2 linked regions of the Oryzias latipes genome follow. The main gene of each other region encodes a partner of the protein of the gene in region 2 in a complex. Links are inferred from orthologs where the notes say so. Each region holds a gene or a part of one and is shown on either strand. Other genes may lie near its edges.

The links. Proteins that work in one complex are often made in the same cells at the same time.
Region 1: the proteins of acadm (region 2) and etfa are in contact, whole or in part, in a crystal structure (PDB 2A1T), measured with the Homo sapiens proteins. The link is inferred for Oryzias latipes from reciprocal best matches to the Homo sapiens genes ACADM and ETFA. Residues at the interface, in NP_000007.1 of Homo sapiens: Pro163, Lys173, Pro211, Gln232, Arg235, Glu237, Val251, Glu253; in NP_000117.1 of Homo sapiens: Arg223, Lys226, Arg249, Asp253, Ala283, Ile284, Gln285, Glu304.

The regions. Positions count from the first base shown.
Region 1 is NC_019864.2:17,580,360-17,583,657, forward strand, and holds the end of etfa (electron transfer flavoprotein subunit alpha, mitochondrial), read right to left. Parts: intron 2,948-3,298; coding exon 2,882-2,947; intron 2,443-2,881; coding exon 2,362-2,442; intron 764-2,361; coding exon 728-763; 3' UTR 506-727; downstream 1-505. UniProt on the Homo sapiens protein: Heterodimeric electron transfer flavoprotein that accepts electrons from several mitochondrial dehydrogenases, including acyl-CoA dehydrogenases, glutaryl-CoA and sarcosine dehydrogenase.
Region 2 is NC_019875.2:3,779,533-3,783,849, reverse strand, and holds the start of acadm (medium-chain specific acyl-CoA dehydrogenase, mitochondrial), read right to left. Parts: upstream 2,851-4,317; 5' UTR 2,739-2,850; coding exon 2,724-2,738; intron 1,086-2,723; coding exon 974-1,085; intron 774-973; coding exon 676-773; intron 555-675; coding exon 485-554; intron 316-484; coding exon 215-315; intron 1-214. UniProt on the Homo sapiens protein: Medium-chain specific acyl-CoA dehydrogenase is one of the acyl-CoA dehydrogenases that catalyze the first step of mitochondrial fatty acid beta-oxidation, an aerobic process breaking down fatty acids into acetyl-CoA and allowing the production of energy from fats.

The sequences.
Region 1 (3,298 bases), on a different chromosome or scaffold from region 2:
TGTCACAATGGCAAAAGAAAAAGCTTGGAATCAAGGTAAATGCAAAATTTACAAAAGAAAATGTTTGCCTAGAATTTGATGCTTTAAGCCAGTGAGCAATTCAACATAAAATAGAAATGATCCAGAAAAAAGCCCCAAAATGAGCTAAATAAAAGCTTAAAATGCTTATGTATTAATAGTAGCTGAAAAAGCCATAAAAAACTGCTCCTACATTTTTAGCCACAAGTGTAAATACATAAATAAGACTTTAAAAAAAGAGCCAGTATAACTTGAAGACTAAGAAAAGGGCACAACATTTTAAATAAGTTTGGGTGATTTCAAAACCAAAAATGCAAGCAGGAACCTCCGTAAGACCAATTTCATGCCAGATGTGTTGAAATCAAAGAAGCTGCACTAAACATGTATGAAAGAATCATTGGAGAGTCTCAACTGTGTGAATGTTTTACTCGGCGTTGACACAGTATCACACCATATACTATTAAGAGCAAAAAAATAAAAACTGCCATAGGTTAGTACAGATCATTTATTAGGAATTAAGTATTTGTAGGATATATACAAAAACTGGTATTTCTTTCTTGAAACTACTAATAGTGGATCTTGACGGCGGCATTGGTTCGACGCTGAAACACGCAGCTTCAGGAACTCTTTAAGGCAATGAGCAGGTTTCCTGTTATTACTCTTGCTGAAGCTGTTGAAGTCTGTTGAAGGTTTGGTGGAGCGCGGCTCTTCACTTGCTCAGTGCTTCCGTCATCTCAGGAACGGCCTTCAAAATAAAAATTAAAAAAATGCAAAAATGATTTGCCAGAATCAAACTTTAACATTGTTGCCAAAAAAGGGACCCGTTTTCCATTCAATTTAGCTTCAAAATTAATCAACTAACATGGATGAATAAAAATGTCCATATATAATTCCAGTTAAAAGTAAATTTCTGAAAAAGAATGTTGACTTAATTTGCTATTTTGTTTTTATGGGTGCTAAAGACAAATGGAGGTGTTTTAACCTTTGCTAATGAAAGTTTGAAAAGAAAGAACAAAGTTTACACTGATTTTTCTGAAACCAATTCCCAACTGGTTCCTGGTGCCCAGTAAAGACATTATTCTTAAAATAGACAACAGATGTCATCCATTTTTCTTCATGTTTTCACTGAAGCCGGCATAACAAATATGCAGATGCTCCGTTCATCATTTAAAAATTGGTGCAGCTATTATACTTTCTGGGTCATAGTTTGCTATTTAATGTTTTTGCCTACATTTTGCAGTAATTTGTTCGTAATTTAGGTTGATTTCATGTTTATTTTTTTATTTTTTTCTAATTAAGTTTTCTCTTTTGTGACCACAACTGACTTAACAAAATAAAGCTGATGGCATTTTCTGTTTCGCTAAAGAATCAATGAATGCTGTTTGAGTCCTTTGATGTGTGAGATCACTTTAATTGACCACATTTCTTTTAATGATTGAAACGGAGATTGAAAAACAGCTGAAAACCTACCTGGAAACCCCGACTGTGAGCGTACACAGCTTTAAAACATGCATAATTGATTACTCTTAAGGAGTATTTGGCTCAATAAATACAGTTTAGTTCAAACTGCTTCTGCTATCAGCAAACCCCAGAATAGAATCAGTCCCTGACCATGTTGGCGTGGAGTATCAACTGTCCATTTGGGGGAAAAGCTAGAAAGCCCATCCATTTTAAACAGTTATCCGAGGAGTGGTCACATGTAAGCTGATCCGACTCAGTGGGTCACAACTCCACTGCCACCAACTTATTGCTAATCACTTCCACTGAGTTCGTCAGGACACCTGTGCTGCTCCAGCACCACTCCAGGAGCTAAATAAAACATGAACTACAGGACACACATGAAAATATACCCTACTAGCCTTTCACAGACAGCCCTGGAAGAATAGTGATGCCAAAACCCCTGGCTCGGTGTCCTGAAGTGCCAGCTCATTGCAAGAATGCAACTGAGCGTATAAGAGGTCGAGGCTAAAAATAAAACCGCTTTGACCAAACCAACGAGACGTTTTTAAAACTTTCTTCGTGGCACATTTGGGTTTATTTAAACCACACCGAGTAAGAATCACGCGACTGGGTAACAATCGCTGCTTTGGCCTGCCATGTTGTGACAAGCTGCAGCCAGAGCCTCCGTAGATTCATTCAAGAGCTTAATAATTCAGCAGACACACATTTCCATTGGGTGGAATAAGGCGCCATGCAAAATTCATAAGTGAGCAAAACAAATGTTATGTTTTTACAATCATGCATCCCTAAAGATTAAAAAAAACGTATACATGAAAACAAGTCCAAGAATGGCTTAGTCATAGTCGGTTGCAACAACTGACACATTTCCAGTCAAACACTTGCCTTAAAAAGATCTGCCACTAAGCCATAGTCAGCCACCTGGAAAATGGGAGCTTCAGGATCCTTGTTGATAGCAACAATAGTCTATATGAAAGAGGCAAAAAAAACATGTAAAACATGTCCAAGCACTAACTGTTTCCATATTATTAAATCGTGTGAGATTCATGGATATAGTGTTCTATACAGACAATATTTGGTTTCCCATATAAAAACCTAAAACAAAAAAAAGAGCATAAAGAGTTACATTTAAGTTATGTAGCCTTTCGTACAATTTGTCAACAATACCAGATTTTTTGCACCAAAGGAACAAGTGGAAAAAAAAAGAAAGAAATGTGACCAATTCACTAAGTTGTGTCTAATAGAAAAACCTGATACTTTTACTTGTATTTTAAGCTAAACACATTTTAAGTAAACGACCAATAAGAAAATAAGGAAAAACTATTTTAAAAACAACCAAAATGATCCCTAAATAATAAAGTGTGGAAAATTTCTGTTCTGTCCCCTTGAGCTCCTGTAAATTTACCTTACTATCTTTCATTCCAGCCAAATGTTGAATCGCTCCTGAAATACCAACTGCAATGTACAACTCCTGTCAAAAAAAGAAACAAATAAACAAAGATAATTTCATTCTCTTTAAACTATGTAAAAAAATAAAAATGTGTGTTTTAAGAGTAGTATTGAAGATGAAAGAACAATTGACTGACAGCTACTTTCTCAACAAGGTAAATAAATGTATGTCTGTTTTCTTTTAAATCCCAAATATGTCAGTGTTTTGAGTGTGACATGTTAGGAATAATGCCCTACTAAGTGTCCACTGTCACTTTTTTAATGAACATCCTGCAGCCAATCCAAGTGGAGTATTCACCAGGACCATGGTATATAAAACTATAAGTTAGCTATAACGTAAGTTTTTTTTACTGTGAATTACTATGTTGCTAAA
Region 2 (4,317 bases):
AAGAACAATGAGAAAAAGCAGGCGTCTGGGTCCAGAGGACCTACTTTTTACAGGTAAAACTGAAATGAAGTAGTTTTTAGTTGTATTTGGCCACTGTTGCAAGACAAGTTCCCTTCAAACGACAGTGAAGTAAAATATCTGTTTGACTGAGCAGGAATCAAAGTTACAGCCAAACGAACGGTAGAGAAAATGTTCTAAAACAAGACAGACGTACTCCCAGAGAATTGGCCTCCATAGCAGTCTGCATCCCTGTGCAGGCGTAAGCCAGCTCCTCTGTGATGAGGCAGCTGTCAAAGATGGATAAGCCCATTCCACCTGACAATGAAGGACACACAACAGCTTCTATCAGAGAGCTTTCATCTGGACCTCAAATGCTGATTAGATTAAATCTTTTGTTTTTACTTTTGTTTTACAGTTAAATGTCCCTCACATCATTACTTCATGACTACATGGGTTGGGTAGTTAACAAAAACAGGAGGAGTACCGTATTCCTGTGGAATGTGACCATTGATGAGTCCAAGCTCCCAAGCTTTCTTGATGATAGGGAATGGATACTGCAAAAACATCCAGAATTACACCCAATACATTAAATATCAACTGTTCAGCATTTACCAAATTAGCATGTTAAACTGAATTTGGGCATATAGTTTTCAGTCTCATCTTTTCTTAACTCACTTCACCGCTTCTGTCATAAGCAGCTGCAACAGGGATCATCTCCTCACGTGCAAACTTTCTGGCCAGCTGCTGGAACTCTTTCTGCTGATCCGTCAGCTCTGAAGGAGGAATCAAGGCGAGAAATGCTTCAGTACAGTCGCATTACAATGACTTGATCCGCTCCAAATGCCGATAAAACTGAACCCAACAGCCACTAAGCTCAGCTATTATTCAAAATCAATACATGGCTAGTAGCATAGGAGGCATTGTTTTTTACTGCCACCTTTTAGTTTTACATTATGTTCTAAAGCCAACTTACCAAAAGAAAACCCAAGAGATCCTGCATTGCTGCTGGAGGCTGCTGCTGCTTTGGCTGTAGCAGCGCTGGAACTCTGCAGACGGATCCCAGACTGTAGACCAGCTCTGAAGACCTTCAAGACACAAGACATCATTGCTAAAGTCACCTTCAAGTCTTTCAGTTTTACATTCAAGAGATCAACTTTAAATGTAAAATGGTGTTTTAGTAACAACTTTTTGTGGCATTCATCTAGTAAGGACATATCCATCCATCCTTCTTCCGCTCATCCAGGACCAAGTCACGGGGGCAGCAGTCTAAGCAAAGATTCCCAGACCTCCGTCTCCTTGGCCACTTGCTCCAGCTCCTCTGGGGCGTTTCCCGGCCAGCTGACAGACGTAGTCTCTCCAGTATGTCCTGGGTCTTCCCCGAGGCCTACGTCCAGTGAGAAACACCCGTAACACCTCTCTAGTGAGGCGTCCAGGAGGCCTCCAGACCAGATGCAAGAGCCACCTCATCTGGCTCCTCTAGATATGGAGGAGCAGCGGCTGTAGTCCAAGCTCTCTTTGGGTGAACCCCATCTCTAAGGGAGCGCCTAGCCACCCTAAGGAGGAAGCTTGTATCTGGGACCTCCTTTCAGTCATGACCCAGTCCCATGACGGGAGTTTTGCTTTCTGACTCAGGACTGTCTTCACCACAATGGTCCAAAAACTAAAACTTCAGTTTTCTTTGATTAAAACTCAAAAAGCATTGGGCCAACCAGTCCTTAATGTCCTGAAGACGTGACAGCTAACTAAAGGTACAGCATCGTCTGCAATCTTTACCCTATAATGCCATTAAAACCCTGCAGTCTGCACTTTAAATGTAACCCCCCCCCCCCCCCCCCCCCCCCATGCATACTGGCATGGGTCTCCCCCTAATCTGCAAAGACCAGAATCAGTACTGCTCTAAGAGTTATTTTTAGATTTTTGGGGTGGATTTTTAGTTAACTTTTCCTGAAAAAATGATTTCTACGTGAAGCAGCTCCAGTCATGGTCACTCCTGTATTACATAACCTGCAGAACATGTCCTCGTTTTTATTTTTTCAAACGTTTGCTCAGTTTTGGATGGATGCCTAAAATAAACAGTTTGATGTATAAAGAAAATAAGTGGTTAACCAGCATTTAATGTAAGGAACACAACATTAAAGATAAAATATCAGTAGATTTAAAGATGAGTCTGATGTTCATATAAAAGGCTCTGACTAGAGAGGTCAGTATACGATTCTTAAGTAGCTCTAACCCAAACACAACAACAACACATTTAAATATTCTGTAATGAAGTTCACATTGACAGAGAGAATTCTTCACATTCAAACACACATACTGTAGATAAAAGGAATGTTTGGCTAAACTCATTTATGCTAATATAAATATTGTCACTGAAGTGAAATGTTGGGGTCGGCAGGAGGTAGCTAGCTCATGATTAAATAATAATAAAAACACAATTTTAAAAAGTTGAATAGCCACCTTCCTAGTTGAAACACTTTTCTAGCCCACAAATAAAAGTTAAACGTCACATCGTGCACTAAATTCAAATAGCAACAAGATGTTTGTTGTTTTGGTCGATATCGTTACCTTTTGCTAGCTAACAGCGTTAGCATGTGACGTAACAACTAAGTTTGTCACCTTACGTAGAAATAAATAAGAAAAGTCCGTCTGTAGGATATCCGCAAGAGAAAGGCTCCATTTACGTCGAACTTGTATAAAGGAAGCCTTAAAAGTGAAGAACCCACCTTACTGAGAAGCATTTTCCTGATGAGCTGCAGCAGACACAAACCAGAGTCGTCGCTACCTCTGCTCTACTTTCAGTGTGATCACCGCCTCTGCCAATCACAGCCGGGATATAGGTCACGTGACACACCTTGGCTTTGACGCGATGCCCTTTATCCCAATTCTTCACCTATCCAACCACCTTCAGCTCCAGAGCTCAGAGCAGGTTAATGTCCCCACTTTATCATTTTGCGACGGAATAAAACAATAAATGTCGTGCTTTAGTGAAGCAGAGAGTCGCAAATTTAGGAATTACAGGATTCTAACACCGTGCTTTTATTTTGAAAGGTTTTTATTTTTATTTTTATTTTATTTTTATTGGGGGAAAAACAGTTGAGGTTAACAATTTGTGACAATTGTATTCAATTATGCCAAGAATAGAAAAGTAGAAAAAGTACAGGACATGTACAAACAACAGATGCAAGATAAAATTAAAAATATATATAACAATAATACAGAAAAAAACTTAAATAAAAGAAATTAAAATTAAAATAAAAAAGGGGGTTACATAGACATTTTAATGATTCTTAACTTTATCAGAAAGCTGCAATTTACATATGATACTTTGAAGTTCCATGGCAAGTTTGTTTTCCATGAAGTTTATAGATGAAAAAGAAGAGCACCACAGTTCTTTATGAAATGTTTTGATTTTGAATTTTTTTTTTTGATTCTAAGGAATGGACATTAATGCATATAGAATTTACCCAAAATAATTACATTTAAAATTTCTGTGTTTTTGTTTTCTTAAATAAACCCAAAAATGACATCCTTAATAGAAAAGTTTGCTAAACAGGGAATCTTGGGGAAAAGCCAACAATGTAAATTTTTCCAAAAGACGTTAGAATAAAAACATTCAAAGAAAAGATGCTCAGTTGTTCCAATATCCACATAACAAAAAGAACAACAGTTTTCAGGAATTCCAACCCGTTTTCTTCGTCATTCCTTGGAAGGGTAAATACCTGAAAATGTTTTAAAGGTATGTAATTAAAACTGAGGAAAAAATGCTAAATTTATGTAAAATTTTTAAGAGGGTCAAACTAAAATAGTCAAAATTAAAATAGTTGCCTAACAACAGGGATTAAAACAAGGTTTACACACATTTTTAAAACTTCAAAGACAAAATGAAAGTAATTAATGATCATACAGACATAAGACACGGGGACAGTGAATAATGTCATCCTATAACCTTCTTTTTTAATTATTCTGTTTTTACAAATAAAAACTGGAAAATAGGCTTCTACATAGATGTTCAGCTTTGAAGAACAGCAATTTAGCCAGTAGGCAGCAACAAACCATCCATCCATCTGTTTTCTTAATCTGCTGCTATTTCCCTTTTGGGGTCATGGGGTCACCAGAGACTGTCCAGGTTGCTGTTGGCTGAAGGCGGGGTACAGGTCAGCTACTGTTGGGCGCCAGTCACAGTGCATGTAATAATTTGCATATTAAGAACAGCTGTTTTTAAAGTTGAAGTTGCCTCTAAAGTCAGAAACAGCTTCGTTTATTCACTTAATTATGTTACTTTGAATTAAACAAGATGTCTATCATCTATGGATGCAA